2 linked regions of the Coturnix japonica genome follow. The protein of the gene in region 1 binds, or shares a complex with, the protein of each later gene. Links are inferred from orthologs where the notes say so. Each region holds a gene or a part of one and is shown on either strand. Other genes may lie near its edges.

Region 1 (9,233 bases):
CCAGCTCCTGGCTTCCCAACACTCAGAAGTGAGAGCCGAGGCTCCAGCACAGCAAGTGCCACTGCCACTCTAGCACATAACAGTCATTCATAGTGACCAGATCAACGTGCACCAGTAAAGCAGAGCAGAGAGAACCACCTACCCAGGGCACTGCAGTGCTGGGTGAGCAGGCACGGGCAGAAGGGCTTGTCAGCCTGCCTGGCTTGACCCTCCTTGCCTTCCTCTCCAGACATGGAGCCGGGGCAGCGCAGCCTGGATGCGGAGCAGATGCAGCAGCAGCAGCAGTTGAAACTACGGGAGCGGCAGAAATTCTTTGAGGAGGTTTTCCAGCATGAAGTGGATTTCTACTTCCCCGTGTCTCACCTGCAGCTGGAGCATCGGAGACGTAAGTGCTGTGGGTGGTGGAGCAGGGCTAGACATGCTTCAGAGATCTGGCACAAGTTAGAGATTGGCGGAATGTCCCCAGTCTAATGGCAGCCAAGGACATGCATGTCCTGCAAGGAGACAGGGCCACACACGCTGTGTGTGGGTGTGCATATGGATTACTCACACCACTTAACAAAGGCACTGAACTGGGGTACCCAGGCTGGCTACCTGCATAGTCACTGGCTCCTCCAGGCAGCAGTTTGGAGCTGAAGCAAGGATTACAGTGACAGCAGGTTTTTATAGGGGATGTTTTAAGCAAATGTGATGTTCATGTGACCTCGTACCAGCAGGTGCAATCTGGTTCTCCACTGCAAGGCTGGCCTCCCATTTTGGGGTTCTTCCTGAAGCCCATGGTTCAGATAGACTTGTATGGTGCCCTTTGCCTGACACTAGTACTCACCTTTTTGCTGACCTCTGTCTCTGCAGCCCCCTTGGGGAGCATTTCCTCGATGGAGGTGAATGTGGACGTGCTGGAGCAGATGGACATGATGGACCTGTCAGACCAGGACACTGTGGATGTGTTTCTGGCCTGTGGGACAGAGGAGAGCAGCGTTTCCGGGCCCCTGACAGGTATGAGCAGTCTGAGCCCTTTGTGGTTCAGAGCAGGAGCTCTTCCTGCCTCCAGCATCTCCACCAGCTTCTTCTTCAGCCCTGGTCACCTTGACCTGTCCCAGTGCTCCATGTACGTGTGCACATACACACATCCTCCATACAAAGACAGTCACTTGGTGCTGGTTACCATGAGGTTGGCAAGGCCTCACCCTGGGCCACTATCCCATGCCACTATGCACCTCCACTGCCCAGAGATACAGACCCTGTAAATATGTTGCACTGAAGAAGACAAGAGAGCCCAGGCACAGAGAGCCCCATGAGCCAGCAGCAAAGCTGGGCACAAGTCCCACAGGGAAAGCCCCGCGTGCCAGCATTTTCCTCCCCACGCACATGTACTGTAGCGAGTCACCAAGGCCAAGCCAGACATTTCCCCAGCACATCCTGTGACTGCAGCTGATGGCCTCACACAGCATGGCTCTGAGCCGTGCTTCTCACAAGACTGAGAAGGCTCTGCTACCAAAAATGGGGAAGGAATGCAAGGCACAGCCCAGAGCCAAGCTTGGGGGGAGCGGTTACAGCAGCCACACAGCTCCCATTGCACCCCAAAGTGGGGTGAAGGAGAAAATGTAGCTTACAGAGGAATAATAAGTGGGGGTGTGGGGGGCTATCTTTAAAGTTTCAGGGGGATGAAGCCTCCAGAAGCCTTTTTCTTCCTTCTCTTACCTCTCTCTCCTCCAGGAGCAGATGCCAGCCAGTGCCAAGAGGAAATCACCCTGCAAGTGCCCAGTGCAGCTGAGACCAAGTCACGCATTTCCTCCACATCCTCTGTCTCTACGGATCCCAACAGCCTGGACACCAGCGAGGAAGGGGCTGAGACCCCTGTGGTGCAGTCAGATGAGGAGGACCTGCAGGAGGACAGTCCTAAAGAGCTAGCAAGAAGCTAGCAGCCAGCTCTGCCCTGCTCCCAGCCTCTTCTGGATGGACCAGCCAGCCTGGAGGAAGGAAAGCTGCTGGCACTCAGTAAACCCCATCCTGGACTGCTGCCTTGCCAGAGGGGAGATGGTTTTCCCTCCTCTCCCTCTGCAGGTTCTCCTGGCATCCAAGGCAGAAGCAAAGGGGTATTGTAGGCTCCCAAAACTAACTCTTCAGGCTTTGCTGCTAACACTTCCTTGCTTCATTCCCCTCAAATGCTCAACATCCCACAGCCCCACCATTCCCAGAAACCATCCCTTGGGATCCCAGCTCCCATTGTCCCACTGACAAGCACCCTATCCAGACAAGCATTTAACAAAGGCATACAGAGAAATAACACTCCTATCTAACCAAGCAGTGGGTGTGTGTGTTATTGGGAGAAAACAGCACTGGGATGAAGGTTAGGTGGGGATTGCAGGAGGGAAAAAGTTATAAAGCAAGTGTGCTGGGAGTGAAACTTGGGAGCAAACTAATGCAGTTCTCCTGCTACATACCTCAGCTCCAGCACAGGGTGAAGCCTTGTAAGCAGGGAGCAGGCAGCACAGACCTCTGTTTGCTCTGCAAAGGTCACGCATGGGCAGGTCACCATGCAGTGCTGCATCCACAGGGCAAGCAGCCAGAGGCTGCAGCATGGCACAGCTGGCCTCAAGGTTTGCTGGTGACCTGTAACAACCAGGATGATTTCCCATGCAAACTGGCTGACAGAATCCATCAGCACACACAGCATCAGCTGCTGCTGCCCCTCCAGCACAGCACACGAGCGTCATCCTGGCTGGAGGCCGCTTTGGAGGAGTGCAGGAGGAGCCATTGCAGTGGAGCCCTGTTACAACTTGCCTCACAGGACAAGCAAGGCCCACTACCTCTATCAGCACATTCAGGCTTAGGAAAGTGTTGTCACTGCCCCAGCTGCATCAGCAGAGCCACAGTCACCCCACAAGTGAAAAAGCCTGGAGATAAACAACAGGGACCTGGGAACACTGTGTACTCACTCAGCTCTTGCCATGCTGCAGGCAGGCAGCCCTGCATGGAGGGCAACGCATCCCTGGGTATGAGGAGCTCCATCACAGCCCTGTCCCAGTATGACCTTCCTCCTGATAGTGTGCCCATACCCAAAGGAACCTGCTGCTGCAGGATGGTGATATCACATGGAGAACAGAAAGCAGGGGGGTATCCTAGGAGAGGGAGCTGTAAGCAGGACGTGAGGCAATGCTGGGCTCCACGCATGGCAGGAGCAAAGAGAGCCCCATATGGTGCCGTCCCTGCAGGAGCCCACAACAACTCCCTGTTCTACCCGGGTCTGGCACAGCTCGACCCACAACCGAACCGCTCCCAGGCCGCACCCCCACAGCGACGCCGGAAGTGGGAGCCATTGGGCGGCCGGATCGGAAGCGGAAGAGGGTGGGCGGGGTGGGCGGCCATGCTGGCGCTGTGGCTGGTGCTGCTGGGGCTGGGGTTGGGGCGGGGGGTGACGCGGGTCGCGCTGCGGGAGGAGCTGCTGCTGCGGCCGCTGCCCGGGGGGGACGTGGCCGCCGTGTTCCAGTTCCGCACGCGCTGGGACGCCGACCTGCAGCAGGGGGCAGGTAGGGCGGCGTGGTGACGTCGGAGATGCAGGTGTGACGTCACGTCGGAGGGCTGTGGTGACGTCATGGGGTCGAGGGTGGTGTCGTGATACGGGAACGGGGCTGCGGGACTGCATGGGGTTGGTAACGTCAGCGGGCGGAGACGTCAGCAGACGGAGCTGTGACGTCAGCAGGCGGAGCTGTGACGTCACGGCACTGACACCCCCCACCCCCCCCCGGTAGTCTCTCACTACAGGCTCTTCCCGAAGGCGCTGGGGCAGCTGGTGGCAGCACACGGTGTGCGGGAGCTGCACCTCGCCCTGACCCAGGGCTTCTGGAGTACCCAGAGCTGGGGGCAGCCGCCCCTGGGAGCCCCTGCTGGCGCTGAGCTCTGGGTCTGGTTCCAGGACACCGTCCCTGAGTACGTACATCTGGCACCGCTGCACCTATGGGGCTGTAGCCTGGTGGGATGCGGGGCTGCAGCTGGAGGACAGCATGGCATCCATCCCACCCACAGCCTCCTTTCTTCAGTGGCCCTGCTTACTGGGGCTTGCCATTAGCTAGAAAGGGTTTGACGTCAGCTGGAGTGAAGGGCCTGTAAGAGAGGAGCAGCAGAGTGGACTTGTGCTTAGTCTGAAGAGCAGAGTGGTGCAGAGAGAGAAAGCTTTTGTTCACTCAAGAAACAATTCCCTCTTGTCTCTGTGATGACAAAGCTCTGGCTGTGGTGGCAGTTACACCCCAAGCTCTCACCCATGACTCACTTCCTTTGACTCCTATACACTATCTGCCACCATTCCCTGTCTAATGTTCCCTCTAGCTTGGCTGCAGCAGCTTAGTGTGGATTCACAGAGCTTTCTGTCCTGCCATCCCACTGAAAGCTGCCTTAAGTTGCCTCATCCAGACTCCATCACTTGCTCCCTGCTCCCCCAGCCTTGCCTACCACTCACTGCCAGCCCAAGGACTACCCCTGCAATGAACACCCACATCTAATGTGTTAGAACAAAGCACTGGGAGGGGTGGAGGGTGAGTGACCAACAACCTGAAAGCTCCTGAAAACCATTGTGGTCACTGCAGTATGTTATTGGATGTTACTGAATTAACACCTGTTATTTTGAGGCTCCAAGCTAATGAGTAATATTTGTCTGTTCTCACACAGTGTTGACAAAGCCTGGAAAGAACTGAGTAACATCCTCTCGGGAATATTCTGTGCTTCTCTGAACTTTATTGACTCCACCAACACAGTCACTCCAACAGCGTCCTTCAAACCCCTGGGTGTAGCCAATGGTGAGCCTGACCCACACATCTGAAGGGCTGGCTTCGTGCACTGACTCTTGTCCCTAGCCTTAGTTCTACCACCCCCGTGCCACTGGGGCAGCTGGGTGCAGGTCCTGCAGGGACTCCTGTGTTAGCAATGTTTTTTCCTGAGTTGATGTCACTGTGATGAGATTTCCCTAGAAAGGGAAATCCTGTGTCCATGAACAAATACCAGAGAGGCTGGTGCTGTTCTGTCTCACTCAGGAGAACAAGTGTTCTCACTCTGTTTCCTGTCTGCTAACCTTACTCCAGCAGCTGGCAGCACCCTATCTGAATACAGGCGTGTACAGCAGGGATTGTTAACCTGCTGGAAGCATTTTCTATCCCTGCTATTGAAGCTTATATTTGTGCACAGGAAACCCACAAGAAATACGTGGCAGGTGCTTGCAAGCCCTTAACTATCTCTAAAAAGTATTTTAGAAAGCATCCAGTGAGAACTGCAGGATTTAAGGAACTCTGAAAAAAGAATCTGTGAAGAGATACCCTAAGAGAGACCTTCAGTCTTTCCAAATCACTCTAAACAAGTAGGATCTATTCCTAATGGAGATTGTGGCATTTTAGGCACCCTTAGAGGGTGCTGTACTCTGGAGTACACTAGAAAATGGAACTGGTGTGCTTCTGCAGCAGAACCATAGAATCATTAAGGTTGGAAAAGACCTCTAAGATCATCTAGTCCAACCATCCACCCACCACTGATACTGCCCACTAAACCATGTCCCTGAGTGCTACATTAAACACTTCCAGGGATGTGGACTCCACCACTTCTCTGTGCAACCTGTTCCAATGCTTGACTACTCTTTCAGAGAAGAAATTCTTCCTAATATCCAAACTGAACCTCCCTTGGCACAACTTGAGGCCATTTCCTGTTATTTTGATGTTACCTGGGAGAAGAATCTGACCCCCAGCTCTTAGGGAGTTACAGAGAGTGAAAAGTTCACCCCTGAGCCTCCACTTCTCCAGGCTAAACAGTCCCAGACTGTTAACTCTCCACTTCCCTACAGGGACAGACCACCGTTTCCTGCGCTATGCTGTCCTGCCCCGGGAGGTGGTCTGCACAGAGAACCTCACACCTTGGAAGAAGCTGTTGCCATGTGGCTCAAAGGTAATGGCAAGTTTCTGCTCCTGCATTGGGCTACACTCTGTGGAGCTAGATGCAGTCCAGCAATGTGCACAAGGAAGTCTCAAAGCCTTGCAGAGAGAAGACCATGGACTGAGTTTTTCCTCTTCCCCTTGCAGGCTGGTCTGGCTGTGCTGCTCAAGGCTGAGCGGTTGTTCCACAGCAGCTACCACTCGCAGGCAGTGCACATCCGCCCCATCTGCCGGGTAAGCATCAAACTCAGCTGCTCCCCCCTCCTTGCTCCAGCAGATGGGCAGAGCAGGGTGTCTTGTGGCTACTTGGTGCTCTACAAAATGAGGAGAATTGAATTTTAGGAAGCTTTCTCCAGTGCTGAGTTGTAGGAGGCTTTATCACTTCCAAGGAGATGATAAACTGGTAGCCTTGTTGTTGTGACTCTGCTCAGTGACGTGATTTTGGTCACCTCTCCTGCACTATCTCACATGTTTTCTAGTCTCATGAGTGCTCTGATGGGACTCTTGCAGTCCTCCTGTCTTGCCTTTCCAGAAGGTGTGATCGGAGCTGTCTCTTCTACAGGATGCTTCCTGCCTGGCTGTTTCCTGGGAGCTCAGGCAGACACTCACTGTGGTCTTTGACAGCTTTACAAGTGGCCAAGGAAAGAAAGGTAAGCTCAGCACCACTATGCTGTGCTCCCTGCAGTCCACCTTAAGCCATCCATCACTGGATTTGCCTCCCACAGATTGGTCCCTATTTAAGATGTTCTCTCGCACCCTTACCGACGCGTGTCCTCTGGCATCAGAGAGCAAGGTCTACGTTGACATCTCTCCTAAGAACAAGGTAACACCCATGGATGAGGGAGCATCCTGCTTTCTCAGTTCAGGGGCACTGGAGCATCCTTGCCTCCTACATCAGGATCTGAGTTTAGAGGTGTCAGCAAGCATGTTGAACTGGTCACTGGGTGGGAGAGCTCAGGGCTGGCTGCTTCTGAGTGGGGCTTTGCTTAGCACCACAATATATTTCAAGGGGAACTTTTCATGATCCACTTGCTTTCTCAGGAAAAAGAGTTACTGGAAGTGACCCCCACACCAACATCTGTACACGAAGCAATTGTCCAAGGAGACAAGACAACCTATGCAGTCTATGACCTGCTCAGCCCTGTGCTCTTCAATACATCTCGCAGCCTCAACGTGCAGCTGAAGTGGAAGCGGCCTGAAGACAGCTGTAAGCTACCTGTGTTATCCCCTCTGCACTGCTGAACAGGGCTCCAGGCACAAATGCTCCTGCCACTGGCCTCTCATTCCTCTTTCCTTTTCCTTTCTGCAGTGGAACTGTCAACACCCATAATGCACGCTCAGCGCTATGTAAGTGGATATGGGCTGCAGACTGGAGAAATCAGCACCCTCATCTACAACACTCACCCATACCGTGCGTTCCCTGTGATCCTGCTGGAGACTGTGCCATGGTATCTGCGACTCTATGTGCACACTTTGACTATCATAACTAAGGGAAAAGAAAACAAGCCAAGTAAGTAGACATTCCTGGCAGCATATTCCATCTGAATCCCTTGGCACAAGCAGCACATTCCAGAGATGGTTTAGTTCCCTCCCTTGGACCCAGCAATCACTGGGTAACAGGCCTGGGAAATTAAACATCTTAGGATGTTTTCCCAGCCTTCAGTCTACTACTCAAGATTTGCCTTTAATAAGTCTGTTCTATAGAGTCACGTGGACGGTGTTTCATAATCCAGAACAGTGCTGAACCAAAGCAAATTGGTTTGGGTAGTAAAAGAATCCTAATTTAAAATTGTTGACTAGATCACATTATCTTTCTTTTTGAACATTGACTTTGATGGGTCATCGTTGCTGTAGACCAGACAGATTTAGTTTTAATGCATTTTTTGTTACCTGTGCATCTTCACTTGCCCAGAAGAACAACTCTTCCCAGGACAGGGGAAGCAAAATTACCCACTTTGTGGAGGTCTCTGGGCGGTGTGAGGCTGGACATGCCCCCTTCCTTCCCCCTGCCCAGCCCACACCACTGATAGGTGTCTTTGGGGTTAGGTTATATTCACTACCAGCCAGCCCAGGACCGGAAACGACCTCACCTCCTGGAAATGCTGATCCAGCTTCCAGCCAATTCTGCCACCAAGATCACAATCCAGTTTGAGAGGGCCTTATTGAAGTGGACAGAGTACCCACCTGACCCTAATCACGGCTTCTACGTCAGGTAAAGGCACCTCCCAGCTCCTTGTCCCCTTCTGGGCTATGTGTAGCACTTGCTGCCTGGGTTTCTAGGGTGGGAAGAACCTATGTTCTCTTTACTGGCAGGACTGACACCAATATATCCTTTTCCTTCTTAGTTCATCTGTACTTAGTGCCCTAGTGCCCAGTGTCATCGCAATGAAGGATGTGAATGTGGAGGAGAGCCCACTCTTCACCTCACTGTGAGTGTGCCTTTCTTCTGGGAAGAGGGAACGTGCTGCAGGTCTGCTGCAGCTGTCATCACATCTGGGCTTCACCAGCCTACAGAACCAGGGGTCCCAGAGGGTGTTTGTGGTGTGTCAGGTGCTTGTGAGGGAGGCAGTAGGTCCCAACAGCCTGTTCTGTGATTTCCTATGGGATTCAGAGCTCTTGGGGAGGGCTGTGAGCACCTCCAGAGCCACAGGGTTGGACAGCACAGTCCGTGTTGTGCAGGCTGACTCCTCTGCTTCCCTTCTCCAGGTTCCCTTTCTCCGACGGCTCCAGCTATTTCTTGCGCCTGTACACGGAGCCGCTGCTGGTGAACTTGCCTACACCAGACTTCAGCATGCCCTACAACGTCATCTGCCTCACCTGCACAGTGGTGGCCGTGTGTTACGGCTCCTTCTACAACCTGCTAACCAGGACGTTCCATGTGGAGGAGCCGAGCCGAGGAGGGCTGGCCAAAAGGCTGGCCAATGTCATCCGCAGGATCAGGGGGGTGCCACCACTATGAGAGCCCAGGGCAGGGCCTGGGGACGAGCAGAGCCCGCTGCCTGTGCTACAAGCTGAGGGATCGCTTCTGTAATGAAGGTGGGAAGCAGCTGTGAGCTGATTAACTACTGAACTGCACTTGGACAGGGTTAGGAAACTGTGTTTGGGGAGAAGGGGTAATTTATGTGCTGGGAATCATGCTGAAAGTAAACTGGAGCTGTTTTGTACGTCTGTGTTGCTCCTCGTTGGGTTTGTTTCCTTACACCACAGAGATACAGCGCCCTGGATGCTGCAGGGCTGTGGCAGCGCACAGCTCCATACGGCAGCGCATGGAGGCGGCCATTAACCAGCGCCGCGCATGCGCGCTGTGCTCCGCTCGCCCTT
Region 2 (9,127 bases), about 4.0 Mb from region 1:
TGCTTGTTTCTGTTCTTGTTTTTGCTTTTGCACACCAATTAGACACAAAGAAACCACAGTGGAATGATTTTACAAATGATTCATGGTGCCATCTGAGGTTATCTGAATTTCCCCAGGGTTCCCATTTCTGGTCAGATGGTGCTGGAAAGCAGATGGCATGGATCACATCAGCAAAACCAGCATAGAGAGCAGGGCAGCTTTAACCACACAACTGTACTCCAATTATTCAATAGAATCATGCTCTCAGGCAACTGCTGTCTATTACAGAGCTGCCACTTGGAGGGCAGTAAGTGCTGACAAAAAAGCATTTCTGGTCAGAAAGCTGAAGACAGCATTAACAGCTACAGGAAAAAATATCAGCATTTCTGTCTTCTTATTTACAGATGTCTGCACAATTTAACTTGAACAAATCCACTCTGACTGATCAGAAGAGGTGCAGAGCCCAGTCAGTCCTGCGGCCATCAAATCCCATGGTCAGCTAATGTTTGTGCTAATAGGAAATTCGTTTTACCACCTCAATAGAACTGTGTTGTTTTCAGACAGTGGCCTGAGAGCAGAAGAGGTCCCACTTGATAGGCTGATTTCTAAAGTTCCCCTTATTGTTTGAGAAGGAGATCTGTTGTCCTGTGGCAGCAGATATGACCATACTTAAGTAGCCCCTTGAACAGGCAGCAGCAGATGGATGTGCTGCTTCACCCCAGAGCAGGGCGGGTGGGGAAGAGCAGCAAGAAACACTCCTTGGGCCATCTGATGCTGCTTCTGCAGCATGAAGGCAACAAGTCTGTTCTAAGTGCTGGAAAAACTTGGAGCAATGATCTTGGTCCAGAAAGTGCATGAGTTAACCATCTAAGTCCAGCAAATCATAGGGATGGAGTACACTGGGCTACTGGGGCCTTTAGGAACTACGTCCACGAGACATTCAGACTTCTCCATTCCATCTGGTGCAGAAGTTGCATGGATCCAATGCAAACACTGTGGCCTGGACATTAACAAACTCTCCCCAGTGGCAGCCTCATAGTGTCAGTAAATCCATTATGTTTCTTACAGGAAAGTAAGGGTTGTAATGTTGTAATGATAGATTATGATATGAAGTGTGTGCTGTCATTCTATTCGTCATTTTTTTAAGACACGAACAGGTCTTCCTTCCAATCTTCATCACTCTGGACCAAGGGTTGTAGAACCTGCTTTGTGAGAGTTTGTGTGAAAGGGAGGCAGATGTTGCTATGGATGCGGACAGCAAAACAGTCGCCATGCAGGCTGAGGAAAGCAAAGAATGAACAGAGAAGGCAGTGTGCTAAAGTCTGCCTGGAAGTTGTAAGCACTGGAGACTGATGATCCTGCTGATACCACAACCACCCACTGCCATCGTGAACCCAGAAAGTGCAGTGCAATGTTCTGCAGCACAGCTGGCTGAGCTCAGTGCAGGGCCACCAACACCACACTGAGCTCAGACATGGTCACAACAGGAGGAGAGATGGCATCATGGCAGCACAGCAACCCCTTGGAGGCAACCATGGAGGAGATAGTTCCTGGCTCTTCCCAGGTGGGTGGTAGGGAATGGGTACAGGGCACAGGGTGCGAAGCGGAGCACCTGCACCAGGTGCCAGGAGCAGCCTTTCCCCATGAGGAGCTGGGGCAGGCTCCATGCCAGAGGCTCTGTGAGAAATGCTGGTGCCCAATAGTCCAGACTCAAGTGGAATTTGTTATCAATCACATTTTACTCTACGCTATTGCAAGAGCAGATAACCAACAGGGCAGGCACACTTGATTGGAAAGACACAACAGCTTCTATTTCCTACTGCCCTGCACAAGTTCTCATTTCCTCACTGGCTGAGCACTCCAGGGCTTACAGCCTATCCCATACTTCTCATTTTCTTATTACATGTCCCACCCCTGTTTACTGCTTGGTTACCTCCTCCCTGTTCCCCTCCTACTAGTGTTTAGCTTTTCCCTGTTATGGTACACTGAGATAACCCTCTCGTAGTTAACCCTGCCCTCTGACTACCATTCATCCTACAGAACAGATCTGCTCCAGTACATTTCCTGATGTTACTCAAGAATGCAGCAGACCTTCTATTCTTTAAGCTCAGCCACAAGCAGGAACTTGTCAGCATTATGAGTCCTCAGGTACATCTCTTTGGTTGCACAAGCTTCTTTCTGGTGTCATTCTGAGAAAACAACATTCCCTTTCCCACAGTTCCCCCTTTCTGTTTACACAATTGTCTCTTTTGAAGACACATCATCCCAATCACCACCATCTCCTACATCTTCCCTTACAGCCTATGCCTTGTCTGAATATAGTGGTAGCCCTACAGCATCTGCTTAGATGGGATGGTTTTGATTAAATGCTGGACCAACCCTCTAACACAGGGGATAATACAACAGCTGGCTGCTGTCAGAACTCCTGCTATTACAATTAAAGATGTAAGTACTGATACCAGCACTCCCTTCCATTTACTGAACCACCTAGTAAGTGAAGTAAGTGCCCAGGCTATGGTGCAATTTGGGGCTGTATTATTGGGTATAAAGGTGAAATAGTGAATGCCCATCATTTACACATACTTGACCCTTTTCAGCCAACATCATGTCTAACACTATCCTATTTTCCCATGTCATCCTACCAGTGGCACTTAATAGTTAGGCAATCCCTTCTATAATTTACGAAGCCCTGCTGATTATGGTAAATATAATTGATCCAGGCTACATTCTTATTAATAGTTATCTACCAAAATAGAGAAGACTCAAACCTGGCTGTGATCTGGTTCTTTACTTTATGTTCATCAGGGATTCCTTTAGGTACCACCCGGGCAGTTGGGTGCCCCGAGCCGCAAGCATAACACTTGCTATGACTGAGACTCTGGATGGTACATTTTACCCATTCTATCCAGGCATTCAGGTCCCCATATCCCATTTCTACCTCAAACATCTGTCAGAGATCTTTCATTTCCTTAACAATTACAATAGGGTAATCCAGATGACTCCTCTCCCTTTCTGCAAGGTCTTTCTCCTCCCACATAATGTTAGTAACATTGGGTTGTGGTTCCTCTGCTGTTCTGAATCTCGCCACTGGGTCATTACCAGTCCCATCTGCTCCGAAACTATAAGTGTGGCTGAAAAATTTATCAGCCTTTCTAATCATTATCATTACTGGATTACACTGCAGGGGCTGGCAATTTGGCTGAGCAACCCCTTAAAATACACTGACTTGATTTTTCAAAGCTTCGGTATAGTTGAACTTGTTGAGTAAATCCATCCATTATAGGTGGTAGCCCACCACACTGATGATGACGGGGTGCCATGGGGCACAGAATTCCATGGTCCACCAGGGGCATGAAGTTGACCTGAACACTTTGGAATGGTCTTTAAAATGGCCCTGGGTTGGTTCCAAAGAGCTTTCTTATGAATATGTTTTACTAACCACACACCTCTCACAGACTTGTTTGGCTACTGTAAAAATGTCTATACACCCATACTTTAGCAGTACAGCACCACGCATCATCTGAACCCCCCAGTGACTTCCTGGATGTAAGGATGGCTACAATTTCCCTCATCACTTTTTTATTCAGCACCTCTCTTCCATCAGGGAGTATCCACCTTCCTTCAGACTCCTTTGCTCCCAACCCTTTAAGAGCCTCCCCATCTTTCTGGAGGAGAGAGTATCTCAAGTGTGAAATGATTCACTGTGACTTGTGGCTGCAAGGGTGCTTCTTGGGCACCTTTATCTGCTAGTAGATTCCCTAGGACAAGGACCAGCTTCCCCTTCTGATGTCCTTTCACACGAATCTCTGCATCCCCTGGCTGTCCAGGGGAACATTTTCTGGGGCTTTTCCTCCCCTCTCCCGAGGCCCAGCATTATCACTCCCCGTAACTCCCCACACTTCTTTCTCCACCCAGGCCTAACACTTCACCCTTCTGTGGCCGTGCCCCTCGCAGGGTAACGGGATCACAGGTCCAGGCTCCCTTTGTACGTAGTACGTCTCAATCACTCTCACACCAGAGCCTCCCTCACCCAGCTCACAGCTCACAGCCGCTCTCCTGACCCTCCTTCCTGCAGACACACCTGACCAGAACGACATAGCAGCTCCTCTTTCCTACTGCCCGGCACAGCGTCTCGTTCCCTCCTGGCTGAGCACTCCCGGCCCACTCTTTAACTCCCCCTCTGCCCGCCGTTCCTCCCGCAGAACCGATCCGCCCCAATACGTTTCCCGATGCTACTCAAGCAGAACGCAGATCTTCTGTTCTTTAAGCTGGGCCACGAGCCGCAGCTTGTCGGTATTGATTCCTCGGGTGCATCTCCTCGGCCTGGTATCGCTATGCCAGAAGCAACGTTCTGTTTGGCACAGCTCCGGCGAAGGCCCGCCCGGCTCAGCGGCCCCAGCACAGCCGGCCGGGCAGCGTCCGCGCGCCGAGCAGCGGTTCCCCGGACTCGCCGTAGTTCCCGGGCGCTGTCGGGAGCGGCGGCGTCGCGGTTCCTTGTGGGACGCGTAGTCCGCCCGGCCGTGCCGCCGCATTGCCGCCCCGTTGTCCGGCACCGCCCGCGAACTACAGGCGGCGTCGGGCCGGCGTGTGCCCGCGAGGATGGCGGCTCCGCTGGTGCTGGCGGTGCTGGCGGCCGTGACGGTGCGCGCCGCGCTGTACCGCTCCAGCCTCGCCGCCTTCATCGCGGAGCGGGTCGAGGTGGCGTCGCCGCTGAACGCCTGGAAGCGAGGTGAGGCCCCGCGCCGGGCTCCAAGGGCGGATCAACGGGCCGAGGCCTCTCGGGCTCCGCGGGCGCCTCTCGGGAAGCGGGGCCCGGAGCTCGGAGCGGGGCAGGGCGGTCCGCATTGCGCCGGGGTGTGAGGGGCCGTCGGCGGCGGTGTCGAGTCGCTCCCGTCGCGCTGTGACCCCGGGCGCTGTGCTGCCGTGAGCCGCGCTGCTCCGGCACTGCTGCTCGTGTTCCATTTTGTGCTCGCTCGTGGCCTCACGTTGTTACCGACACCGGGTCCAGATCCTGTGCACAGACACGGGGTGTAACCAGGGCTGCTCTGTGACATGCTTCATCGTGGCACCTGAGCCCGCTGCGAAGCACAGATTGCTCTATGGGAACATAATACCTGGGTACCGTGCAGGTGCAATCACTGCAGGTTTGGGGCAGAACACAGTCACACAGTGTAATAAAGGCCAGAAAGCATGAATGCATTTGATAATTAATAAGGTGCTTCACAGGTTCAAAACACAGCCCCACAGGATACCCTTGCAGCAATGGATTCCTTCTAAATCCCACTTTAGAGCTTCAGGCTGTGCCTCCAGCCAGGAAGAGGCCTGGGCTGAAGGGTAACTTCAGGGTAGAAGTGGAATCTGCTTCTTGAGCACACTGCTGATTCAAAAGCCTCTGGTTGCTTCCTGTTATCTGTTTCATTTCTCCATCTAGTTTTGTTCGTTTGAGGCCTCTACATGTAACAAGGCAGCATGGTTCAAATCACACTGTATATGGAGCTTCTCACATAGTTAGTTAGCAGTGTCTCCTGAGAATCCACTCTTGAGGGCCCAGGTGCCGACCAGAGCTGGGTGCCCCTCAAGTCCCACCTTTTAAAAACACAGGTGCAGGCAGTCCCACTGTGTGACAAGTCAGGGAGGTGCAGCAGGAGCAGCCTGCCTGAACGGGGCTCCTGGAACAGGGCAGGAAGAGAAAGTACACAACCTCTGGGAAAAAGTTTGGCTTCACAGGGAGAATACAGAGCTGCGGTTCACATCTGCAGAGAGAAAATGAGGAAGAACAAAGCTCAGCTTGAGGTGATGTTGGCCGGTGTTGTGTCAGACAACTGAAAGGCTTTTATGTTTATCAGCAGCAAGAGGAGATCTAAAGAAAATGCTGGACTGATACGTGATGAAGATGGTCACTTAATGAGTATGCATGGAAAAGGTGGAGGCATTTAATGCTGTGGAAACATTGGTTTCCATCTGTGATGACTAAAAGGGAGCACTTGTATCAGAATGTTTACAAGTCCGTGGGGCCAGGAGTGAGCCCAGAGAGCTGAGGGAGGTCATGGGACTCATCCCAACAGTTCACCAAAGATACTGTGAGGGTGGGGTCTGCGGCCAAAGGCAGCCAGTGTCACAGCCATCCACCAGAAGGACATGAGGGGAGAGACAGGACCCTCCAGACCTGTCACTGGCGGTAGGTGCAGCAGGAGCCAGCACTGTGCCTTGTTCCCTATTTCCGTCAGCAAGCTGAGTTCAACCACATCTTGGGAACCAGGTGCTCAATGTGCATAGTGGCTGTTCAGGTGAACAGACATTTTCTTGATGAGAGCCCTCCTTTTTCCCTTCCCCAGCTCCTGTCACCGTGTGTAGCATCACACAATGTGCAATATCCTTTCAGCTGAGGTCAGTGTCCCAGAGATGTCCACTCCACATTTTGCCCACCCCTGGCCTGCTGCCTCTGGGAGCTGCAGAGTTGATGCTGTGCCAGTGCTACTCAACAAGAGCAAAATGCCAGTGCTGCATCAGCACTGTTCTAGTGGCAAGTGCAGAGCGCAGTGCTGCATGGCTGCTGGGGGCAGTGAGCCCCTCCCTGCTGGGCCCAGCACAAGGAACCAGGCTGTTGGACTCAGTGATAACTGTAGGTCTCTTCCACCTGAACTCTTGTACTCTTCCAAGTTTTCAGTCAGAATTATTCCTCCAGTGTAGATACTGTAGATACCACGTGTCACATGATAGGAGACTTAAAATCAGTAAATACATGTGATTCATAAATACAGGTAACTGCAGAACATTTCATCTACAGCATCTCAAGTTGTCTGAAACAAATGACAGGATGTTTGAGAGCATTCAATTCTGGCTGATAGCTGCTTGTGTGAGATTCTGTGTCTCCAATTCAGATGGTGATTGTGTGAGATTTTTATGAGCTCGGGTGTTTTGAGAACTATTGTTTCATTGCCACCACATGTTTTTCTCTTCCAGCACTGCAGGATTCTAATGTGGATTTGTTTTGTGTTTCAGTGGTTGAAGGATTAGCTCTGCTGGATTTAGGGGTCTCACCATATTCTGGAGCTATTTTTCATGAGGTTGGTATGCAGTGCTTTGTTTTAAACATGATATTCCAGCAGCACATTTCTTAGTCCTATTACGTGTGGATTGGCAAAGGTTGGTGAACTTGTTTTGTCCCAAACATTTCAGAAAATGAAGAGTTGTGTTTGTGCGAGAGTTCCACACAGTGACCAGCGAGGAAATGCAGCTCGTATTCCTCAGAACAACTAGTTGAGAGCGGATGATAGACACTGTGGTGCTTGTAGTGCATAAGGAGAGTCCGGAATAGGGGAAATCTCTAAGAAATAAAATGCTTTGTTCACATCCACATTTCCTGTGAGTAGAGGCAGGAGCGGGGAGAGACAGTGCTGCTGGCCGCTGTAATGCAGTTGTGCTGAATAGCAGCATCTTGGGTTAGAGCACAGTCATGCAGCGTGTTTGTTCCTCATTTTGGAAACCTCGTTGTTCCTCCAGAGGTTTTTGTGCCCTTGAATGGCCTTATTGATACGAATGTAGGCTTATACGCAGCGTCATCTTGGTGTGTCTCACACTTTGGGCATCTCTGAAAATTTGTTTCTTTTCAATAAATTCTTCCTGAAACAATTTTCTCCCAGACCATGAAGCATATATGAATGCTTAGTTATACCATCATGTTATGTTCAAAGTATTTTAAAAGAAATATGTTTTCTGACAGTAAAGCCTGAATTTTTTACCCTGTGAATGTAATACCTTCGTTCCAGGTTAAGCTTTTCTGTCAAAGGAATAATTCAGAAGCCCAGAGGCAGTTACCTTACAGGGCTATGAGAATAACAGGACCACCGCTTTGTTTTCCCATGGCTTCTTTTTACTCTATAGGTAATTTGCCTAACCAACAGGCTGAGCAGGGGGACCAGCTGTGTAGGAAATGCTTTCAAGAGACATGCAAACAACCTGAAAGAAAAAGAGATTCTCAAGGAAGGAAAAAAAAACAAAAAACAAACCCCACTTTCTGAGGCTTTTCTGTTTGTAGTTCTGTTGTGGTTCTACCACCGTGCTGGTAGAATGGCAAGGTTGGAATAGAATGTCATTTTCCAAATTGATGTGTCTTTTATGAAATGCTTTTATGAAATGTACTGAGAACTTTGCAAAGAAAAAGATTCAGTGAATTGTGGTTTGGTTATCACTTCGGTTTTGTTATCCAAAGTAACAGCGTTGAGGAAGGTTACCTTTTGCAGTCTCTCACAGTGCTACTCTGTTTTTCTCCTTGAATTGCTGGTTGCTTTTTCCAAATGGGGATGTGCACTATTTGACACAGATTTCTCTTCTGCTCTCTCGTAGACCCCGCTGATAATATATCTCTTTCACTTCCTGATTGAATATGCTGAATTGGTCTTCATGGTAAGTGCTCCTGGAAAGTTCCTCTTGAAGGGTCCCATTCTGTGAAATGATGAGCATGACTTTCCTTTCACTCCTGCAAGAATCAGGGATCTTCAGGCTCCCTGGAGTCCAAATTCCTGCTGACCTCATGGTTTGATTATAAAGGCAGCTTTGCATGCACAACCCCAAGTTCAGGCTTTTCCCTTGCTCTACGATTTCTTTCTTTTTTTCTTTTTTCCTTTTTTGTTTGTTATTTCTTGGCTAGTTAAACGTTCCCTTGATGGGACAGAACGTTGACATTTGGTTTCAGATTTCAAAGTTTACCTCTTACAGGTCAATCCCTGTATTGCCGTGTTTCTCGTCAAAACCCACTGCCAAACTCCAGGGCCGTAAAGAGAACACAAACGGTTCAGTAATCCAAATGTCCCTTGTTGTAAGCTAATCTGTGAGTTCTGTGTAATTCAGAGGGACAGAAATCATATAGCTGGCTGCACATACCACCTGGTGGAGCCTCTCTCCCCAGCTCCCTGCTGGCAGGTCTCTAACAGGGGTAGCAGCCATCTGGGTTGTGCTTGCACCAATACTTCAGTACTGCTGCCTGTGAAGTGTGGGGCAGCTCAAGGCACTGTTGTTCTGGATTAATGGCACGTGGATTTAGCCAGCTGGGCACTGCCCTGTTGTTGCCTGTGCACTGATAATACCAGTGAGTTCTCTGTTATCCCTGCCGTTTCTTTCACCTTAATTCCCCATTTTCTTGTTCTGC

What was found.
Region 2: the proteins of PIGT (region 1) and PIGU are in contact, whole or in part, in a cryo-EM structure (PDB 8IMX), measured with the Homo sapiens proteins. The link is inferred for Coturnix japonica from reciprocal best matches to the Homo sapiens genes PIGT and PIGU. Residues at the interface, in NP_057021.2 of Homo sapiens: Tyr361, Gly362, Leu363, Gln364, Lys365, Arg394, Leu395, Tyr396, Val397, His398, Tyr416, Pro418, Ala419, Gln420, Asp421, Arg422, Gln445, Glu447, Leu450, Leu451, Lys452, Trp453, Thr454, Pro518, Thr519, Pro520, Asp521, Phe522, Ser523, Met524; in NP_536724.1 of Homo sapiens: Glu30, Lys42, Arg43, Val45, Glu46, Ser49, Leu50, Leu53, Val55, Ser59, Gly60, Ala61, Val62, Pro265, Asp266, Leu267, Pro269, Leu273, Trp275, Tyr276, Phe277, Phe278, Ala279, Glu280, Met281, Phe282, Glu283, Phe289, Phe293, Asn296.

Annotation. Positions count from the first base shown.
Region 1 is NC_029535.1:4,465,960-4,475,192, reverse strand, and holds PIGT (GPI transamidase component PIG-T), read left to right. Parts: upstream 1-3,172; coding exon 3,173-3,530; intron 3,531-3,752; coding exon 3,753-3,930; intron 3,931-4,665; coding exon 4,666-4,793; intron 4,794-5,824; coding exon 5,825-5,925; intron 5,926-6,059; coding exon 6,060-6,146; intron 6,147-6,474; coding exon 6,475-6,562; intron 6,563-6,637; coding exon 6,638-6,735; intron 6,736-6,953; coding exon 6,954-7,119; intron 7,120-7,221; coding exon 7,222-7,422; intron 7,423-7,958; coding exon 7,959-8,124; intron 8,125-8,257; coding exon 8,258-8,341; intron 8,342-8,618; coding exon 8,619-8,871; 3' UTR 8,872-9,076; downstream 9,077-9,233. Other genes in the region: DBNDD2 (dysbindin domain-containing protein 2), read left to right, coding at 230-385, 853-996, 1,717-1,922. UniProt on the Homo sapiens protein: Component of the glycosylphosphatidylinositol-anchor (GPI-anchor) transamidase (GPI-T) complex that catalyzes the formation of the linkage between a proprotein and a GPI-anchor and participates in GPI anchored protein biosynthesis.
Region 2 is NC_029535.1:489,130-498,256, forward strand, and holds the start of PIGU (phosphatidylinositol glycan anchor biosynthesis class U protein), read left to right. Parts: upstream 1-4,512; 5' UTR 4,513-4,578; coding exon 4,579-4,708; intron 4,709-6,981; coding exon 6,982-7,046; intron 7,047-8,325; coding exon 8,326-8,385; intron 8,386-9,127. UniProt on the Homo sapiens protein: Component of the glycosylphosphatidylinositol-anchor (GPI-anchor) transamidase (GPI-T) complex that catalyzes the formation of the linkage between a proprotein and a GPI-anchor and participates in GPI anchored protein biosynthesis.